Daphnia pulex: one gene and its partner. The protein of the gene in region 2 interacts with the protein of the main gene of each other region in a pairwise test. Links are inferred from orthologs where the notes say so. Each region holds a gene or a part of one and is shown on either strand. Other genes may lie near its edges.

Region 1 (4,032 bases), on a different chromosome or scaffold from region 2:
CCCTTATCACCTCTGCAGCCAAGTCTCATTCCCTTGCGTTTATTCACTTTTGATCAGTTTCCAGTCGATCAACAACTCTTAACTGCACACTACTGAGGAGCCCTTATTTGACCGATAGGTATCACTACAAACGGTCCTCAGATGGCCTCAGTTTTCTCGTTGCGTAATCGACCGGCCTTGTCTTTAACAGACACAACAATTGATATGACGCGTGTGCGATTGGATGGATTTGATGTGGAGTGTAGTGTGCTGAGAGACTAACGACAATATTTTTTTTTCTTCTTACAAAACGTGTTGTTCATGATTGGTTGACCCTTCTATTCTCTTCTTACACTTTCCTCTTCCAGTTGACAGATTTATTGTTGAAAGCAATATGGCTAACCAGGTGGAATCAACAATCTTTAATTGTGTACAGTGAATACTCTTCCTCTGTCTCTTTCTTTTGATTATCTTATCCATTTCGGAAGTGTGTGAATACATCATCCCTTTCTACCCCTTGTATCGCTCACCCTACCAAACAAAAGAAAACAAAAAAAAACAAGACTTCTTTTCCCATTTTTTATCTTAATGCCCCGAACCCGACGAAATAAGTAAAAGTCAATACATGGACTAGTTGATATACAGCTTGAAATTTTAACTCGATCACCGATGCTCATCTTTTGAAGGCCATCAACTAAAGTATTTAAATTTCACATTTCTTTCCAACACAAAAGCAACAGGCATAATATTAATAATATGGTTAAAATTGGCAATTTAATCTGTATCTTCTTCCCCAGATGCGCCAGAAGCTCCCATTTCAACTATTTCGGCACTATTGGATTCACTGCTCTCGCTCGGACCACGAGCTGGTAACACCGAGCTCAAACCAGCATTCACCATCGACGAAGAATTTGTTTGCATGTCCTCTACGGAGATGATCTCTGGGGATGAAGACAGAGAAATGCCATCGCTTTGATTGTTCTTGTTAGATTGTTCAGCACGTAGATCTTGTTTTGCTCCACTAGTTGAGCTTAACTGCCAAGGGGGAATAGAGGGAGGCCCAGTCACGATTGCTGGAGGAGCAGGAAACTGTCGCCTGATGAATTTCAAATTCCAATAATGAAATTCCAATAATTTTACATATTCCTTACTAATCAAAATTATAAATTTATATGACACTTTACCTTCCTAACAAAATGGCTTTCAATGATGTCACTTCAGCTTTTAACTCCTTCAATTCAGATTGTTCGTGCTGTTTTGAACGAAGCGTAGCAACTGTGTCTGATAGATTCTGTACAGCAGCAGAAACGTCGCCGACTAAACAAGTGAGGTTCTTGTTCATTTCTTCAACAGTGTCTGCCAATGACTTCTTCTTTTTATGGCCAAATAAAAAAGGCTCTATGAATCGCCTAAAAGTAAAAGAAAAAACCTTAATGTTTCCAAACTAAGAAATTAGATAAATAGTTGTTTCTTACCTGTACAAATAATGAAGGCTATATGCAGCTCCTGCTATAAGGACTGATGCATTTAGTATATCCCTGATTATACTCCATTTTGATGTTGCAACTGGTGCCAATGATCGACTATATTCATGCAGTTGGGCTACTTTAACTGAAGAGTAATGTCCTACACCTCCCTCCTTCAATAAAAAAAAATCGTAGAATCCATCCTTTTAATATATATGTGCCTGGATAAAAATGACATACTGATTTGGTTTCTTTCATTCCAGAGGCCTCAAATGCTGCAGAAATTTCAGCATGGTTTAATCCTTTTCTTTGCAAAAACAATTCTTTTTCTGACCTGGGACGAGTTGCAACACGGGGGTTTTGCAAAAACTTTACAGCAGTGGAAATCTGTAAATCATACACACAGAATCACAGTTGTTTACACATTAAAGAAAAACCATGTTCTAATCATTTACACTGCATTGTACCACTAATGTGATAAAGCATTTTTAATAAACTAGAAATGCATTCAAAAGAATGTTTACAAATTACAGTTACCACTTACCAGGTCTTCGCGTAAAGGCTGTGTATTTTCTTTGAGGGAATCTCCGTTGATTTCTTCACCTGCTTCACTCATTGTGGAAATTAATCGAAGTTTCAATTCAGAAACGCTGAATAATCAGCCAAACAGGCATGTATTATCACGCAACCTTGGAAATTTCAGGTGGTTCGGTTTGTTGTGTTATCACACTCAGGAAAAACAAGTGAAGGACGGAAATTCATGCGGATGCTGTTGAGCTAATGCTGAAAATTATTCGTCTGCCACTCATGTTGAACAGTTGAAGCGAAGATTTCACGGACTCGCGTAGACGGCGTAGTCATTATTTATGAATTAATGGTAATTAGTAAGTAGTAAAAAGTGGTTTTTTAGAGAGTGATTTTGCTATTATTTAAATCTCGACTAGTCGGCCTTAATTTAAAAAGCAAGAGAAGGATACTATAAAAATTGTCTTTCAGTTCAGCCATCCACTTTATTGAAAATTGACTACTGAATAGAATTGTAGCAATTTGCATATACAATAATTCATCTTTCCAGATATGGTAATGTAACGTGAGCAATGAAGGAGGAATGATAGTTGTGTGGTGTGATCATGGTATTAAATACGTGGTATATATTGAGTTACAGTAAAGAGTTTACTGACGAGTTGGACCACTTCACTCCGCTGTGACAGTCACTCACCACGGGTGCCTAGGTACCCGACAATTCACTTATTTTAATATATAATTACTAATAATCTACTAGCTTTAAAAGCTGTGTCTGAGTCATTTCTAATTCAGACCCTCTTTGAGAGTCACGAACGAATTGTTTGTACGTTTCTTTTTTCTAACGCTAGATGACTTTATCATAAGCCTTTGGTCATTTTCAGCTGTAAAATCAAATTAGTCAGTTTCAGCTAAGCTATTTTGTACATATCTGTAAAAATAATTCCAGCAACAAAGCTCACTTGTTAATTTTTCGATAATTGCATTTTTTATTTCAACTAAATCTATTTCACGGAGATGACGAACATTTGGTTTGTCTTCCGTCTGACTTTTGTCGTCCGTGACTCCGTGGTCCCGTGGATGCTAAGGGCTGTCACTAGGTGGCCAAATAATTCAATGTGTTTAGGGATTGAACTATTCAGCCCTAGTGTGTAGAGGGATGAATGGGGGCGTTATTTAAGTTTTGACTTTTGAGACGACATTCTAATTCCTCTTTCTTTTAAACTGTGACGCTGTCCGAGAATAGTGACTCTAGTCATTGCTGAGTGCATTTTTCTGAAATTCTTCGTCGAAAAAGGTAATTTCTGCGTTAATCTAAGGTTATTAACTTTAAATATTTTGTGTGGTGAATTTACGGGGTTCGTGCCCTTAGATTTATCCTTGGTCATATTGCTGTACATTTTCTTAAATATCTCTTGCTGCGTGTTGCACGTTTCGTCTGAGACGTCTATGTACAAGTAAAATTGTTGATTATCTCTTAATTCCTATGACTCTTTCTGAATTGAAATTCCTTGATATGTAGTAATTGAGTTAATATTTTTCTATAAGCAGCATTATGGAGTTTGAACTGTCTGAACATGTGTTGCGTGCACGTTATCGCTGTCTTGTCATGAAAATGCGTCCTAGAGAAGGTTCTTCCATATTGAATGACAAATAAGGTGAAAAGAGGAAATCTGGAAAGGTAAAAAAGTTACTCTTAAGCTGAATTAGGTAGCATTTTGTTCTTGATGTCGGAAAATAAGTGACATTATTTCTTGCTTCCATGACAGCAGTTGTTAAAAGTTGCCAGTTTGAATCAATCGGTGGGCAAGCATTTTGCTCAATCTGTAGTCTACTATGGATGCTTCATATGTTCTTTGTTTTGAATATTAGTTGTATATTACATTTTTGATAAAGAAAGAATCCGACACCTACTTCTTTTCAAGTAAGACAGCTTTTGTGAAAACCAGCTAATAGAGAGATGTAGACTTTTTTATGACAACAGATTTTTTTTTCAAATCTGAAAATGTTCTCGGCTTATTAATGTCCTTTTGTTTTGTAGGATTCCTTGGTCAGTTTGGTGTTT
Region 2 (3,689 bases):
CTGATGGGGATGTCTGGCTGAATATTTATTTTCCTCGTTTTTAAGGCTAATCGGAAAAGATGCAGATGGTCGGAATGAACAACCGCAGCCCAGATATTTAGGCACGGTATTCTACGTTGCGCCAGGGCTATAAGATCAAGAGGATGCATTAGATGAATTCACTTTCTTTCATAACGCCCACTACATTTCAATCTAATGATGGTCGTATTCACGGTGAATATTTATCGAGAAATTTTCACGTTGGAGAGTTTGTTTGTTATAGATTCAATCCTTCGAAAATTCTCGGATTTTGTTGTTCAAATATTCTTCTCGTTGCTCTCTGATTTTGTGGAGGATTCCGTTCATAACTTTTTAAAAAGAGAACCTGATTTGATGGGTTTGTTATGAAATGACTGCCCCAACTATTCAGTGAGATGTTTAGCAGTTTCTATTCAGAGCCGAGTTCTTTACATAACGCTGCCGTGCAGGCGTTCATGAAACCTATTGGCAGTCGACGTTGGCTGAATAGGGGGGTGGGCAATGGTGGTTGAATACACATCAGGAATCACGCACGCTTCACGACCGCACTCAGCAGAATTATTACACAACTACTACCAGAGAACCGGGTTGGTGAGAGCTGTGCTGCTGTGTGCAGGCACTTGGAGGCCATTCCCAACTCTCCTCCTTCCCCAATCCTATAGCCTTAGGCAGCTCCAATAATTGGCTGCTGCACGACAACGAATAGAAATTCAATCTCACCGGAGTGATTGCTTGCCAGCGTGAATCCGAGAACCTTTTTCTTCAATTCCTATTTATGATGTGCTCTCTACTTCAACTTTTTTTCACTCTCTCTCTCTCCCTTTCTTCATCCCTGACATGTTTAGATTATGTTGAGTGGTTTCCCAAGCATTTTAGCTTCATCCGAATCATTCCTTATAATCAAACTTCATTGTCGATTATGTTGAATATGTTGCAGTAAAAAAAAAGATATTAATAAATCTGATTAAATTTGAAATAGTCGTCAGACTTAATTTCAAAACAGTAAAAGTAAACAGACAAGGATATTACGCATCAACGCGTGTGTATTGTTACTTAGTTATATCCTTAACGTATTTAAAAGTTTGCGGCAGATTTTTGAATTGAAAGAAATTTTCACACTACTACCATCTACCGGTGTACAAACTCATCTCATTCGTTTCGGAATTTTTATAATGGTGTCGTCTTGTTGTTGACAAGTCGATTCCGTTTTCTGTATCAGAGTTCGCTGGATTTATCAGCAAATCGAGGCAAAGTCTTCGAGTTTTTAGTCTGAATCGTTCAACGCCATGGCAGCTCCATTAAAGCCGTGGGAAAGGGCTGGTGTAAATTCACGAGCTTTTGGTGGCGACATTGGCAACACCTTACCTACACCCATCGTCAGGTGCGTAATACATGTTGTGTTTAGTTCATTTGTTTGGTTTGTTACCTTCATCAATATCTGTTTTGATTATTTTAGTGGGGGTGGAGGAAGTGCTTTTACAGCTTCAGGGCCTGGCGTCCCACCACTGCCTCCTAGAGTACCCGGGGCAAACCCAACAAACAATGATTATGGTGCAGTTTCAAGCTATTCTCCATATCGAACAGGCATTTCAAGTTATTCAAGCCCTTACGGTTACAGTAGTGGATATGGGGGTTATTCGGGACTTTCTAGTGGCTATGGTACTAGTTATGGAGGCTATGGTAACAGCTATGGTGGATATGGAAGTTACAACTCTTATGGAGGGAGAAGTTATGGAGGGACAAGTGATAACAGGTAAAATTTTAAAAATTAAAATAATCATACTTACAACAATTCAACAATTTCATTATTTTTTCTCAAACAAGGTTTATTTCCATGGCAGAAGAGAGTTCTCAACCTGCATTTCAGAGCTTGGAATCAATTGTCCATGCATTTAGCTCCATTAGCATGATGCTGGATTCAACCTTGAATGCTGTTTACAGCTCTTTCAGAGCCGTATTGGGTATGGCTGATCAGTTTTCCCGAATGCGAACACATTTAAGCAAGGTGTTTTCTGCATTGGCCATATTTCGTACGGCAAAATGGGCTCTACACAAATTATTCTACATATTTGGTATGTCTGATTATGCAAATTCTCGACGCAGTAGTTGCAGCCATTGTTATCAACTAAACCCCCTTGTGTTTACAGGTTTGAGACGAGAAAATCCAATCAATACGGCATGGTCCACTGCCGTATCAAATTCGGATGCCTTATCTGCGGGTCTATTGACTGAAGCTGATATTAAAAAGTCCAGATCATCATGGCCCATCACCTTGTTCCTTGCCATAATCATTTCTGCCCCATATTTCATATGGAGGATCATATCTTCCCTAGACAGTGCTCCGGATGCACTAGGTGCGTTAACACACTAACTTTTGTTTCATAAACTCGCTTATTCAAATTATCTAATCTTTTAATGCTCTAGGAAAAAAGTGGGCTGATGGCCTAGGAGAATATTATACTGCTCAGGCAGATTATGATTTCAATGCCGGAAACGAACAAGAATTAAGTTTCAGAGCTGGCCAATCCCTACGCTTGGCTCCCCGTTCCCTTCAGCCTCGCATCAAAGGCTGGATGCTTGCCGGCACCGATTCACAACACACGGGCCTCGTACCTGCGAATTACATCAAAATTTTGGCCAAACACGAAAGTTCGACTCCCAAATAATTCATTTGACTGATATACAGTAGCTAAACCAAAGGAATAACCTTGTCCAAAAGTAAATTGTTAGCTGTTTGATGCCATTCAGTTATTTCGAGCTATATTTTTATCAGTCATGGAGTTGGGCCACTACTCATATTCAAAGCCTCAAAAACATTTAAGGCGTTTGAAATTATTGGCGGCCTTTGTGAAATTATTCAAATTTTTTTTACCCCAATTTTTAGAGGCTTGTGAATAGGAAACGCTCAAATGTTGACGAAATCGTACGATTAAGTGATGATGACTCCTTTTTGTTATGCTGGGTTTGTTTATTTGTAATTCAACAAATCAATATATATTGTGGGATATTAAAACTACTACTAATTGCTATGGATGATTTTTTCTTCGGAAGGTTATGTTCATGATCCTGTTTCGGTCCTTGGTCAAAATAATTAAAGGCTATGCAGATTTTACGAAGAAGTTTCCTTGGAGACACCAGACATTTCTGTCGTGGCCGAACCGACGCTCGAATCGTCGTTGGTAGGAACAGGCTCGTGAATGCAGAACCAGGGCATTTTCTTCTGCAGTTCCATGCTGAAAGGATGAAGAAAAATGTGGTAAGAATGACTGTCATTTCACTATGAATAAGATGTGTTACCGATAACGGGGATGGTTGATTGCATAGATCCATGGGTTGATGCAGGATACCAATTTACAACAACAGGCAGGCACCGTGCTCAGAAGTGGTGTCAGGACGGACCTGTGAAAAGATGACGATGGTGATTTATTTGAGAACAAATTTGTTGAAAGTATTATCTCACCTATTTCCAAAAGCGGCTGTGAGAGCCACAAAGGCATAAGGAGTCCAAGCGAAAACGAACAAGGTGGCGAGAGCAATTGCAACTTTAGCAATGCGAACCTCAGCTGATTTTTCATTTTGATCGCGGTTGCTGCGCAGGGAAGTAACGTTCATCTTTTTGGCCTGGTCACGGAGAGTCTTCTCGTGGTCACCAACGGATCTCACAATTTTGG

What was found.
Region 1: the proteins of peroxisomal membrane protein PEX13-like (region 2) and peroxisomal membrane protein PEX14-like interact in a two-hybrid assay, tested with the Homo sapiens proteins (2 studies listed by BioGRID and IntAct, with this or other methods). The link is inferred for Daphnia pulex from reciprocal best matches to the Homo sapiens genes PEX13 and PEX14.

What each region holds. Positions count from the first base shown.
Region 1 is NC_060028.1:9,567,977-9,572,008, forward strand, and holds peroxisomal membrane protein PEX14-like, read right to left. Parts: upstream 2,767-4,032; 5' UTR 2,062-2,766; coding exon 1,990-2,061; intron 1,833-1,989; coding exon 1,686-1,832; intron 1,619-1,685; coding exon 1,455-1,618; intron 1,389-1,454; coding exon 1,164-1,388; intron 1,076-1,163; coding exon 754-1,075; 3' UTR 545-753; downstream 1-544. UniProt on the Homo sapiens protein: Component of the PEX13-PEX14 docking complex, a translocon channel that specifically mediates the import of peroxisomal cargo proteins bound to PEX5 receptor.
Region 2 is NC_060017.1:2,686,616-2,690,304, reverse strand, and holds peroxisomal membrane protein PEX13-like, read left to right. Parts: upstream 1-1,174; 5' UTR 1,175-1,304; coding exon 1,305-1,399; intron 1,400-1,474; coding exon 1,475-1,771; intron 1,772-1,842; coding exon 1,843-2,090; intron 2,091-2,165; coding exon 2,166-2,372; intron 2,373-2,442; coding exon 2,443-2,684; 3' UTR 2,685-3,034; downstream 3,035-3,689. Other genes in the region: opsin, ultraviolet-sensitive-like, read right to left, coding at 3,128-3,251, 3,316-3,417, 3,479-3,689. UniProt on the Homo sapiens protein: Component of the PEX13-PEX14 docking complex, a translocon channel that specifically mediates the import of peroxisomal cargo proteins bound to PEX5 receptor.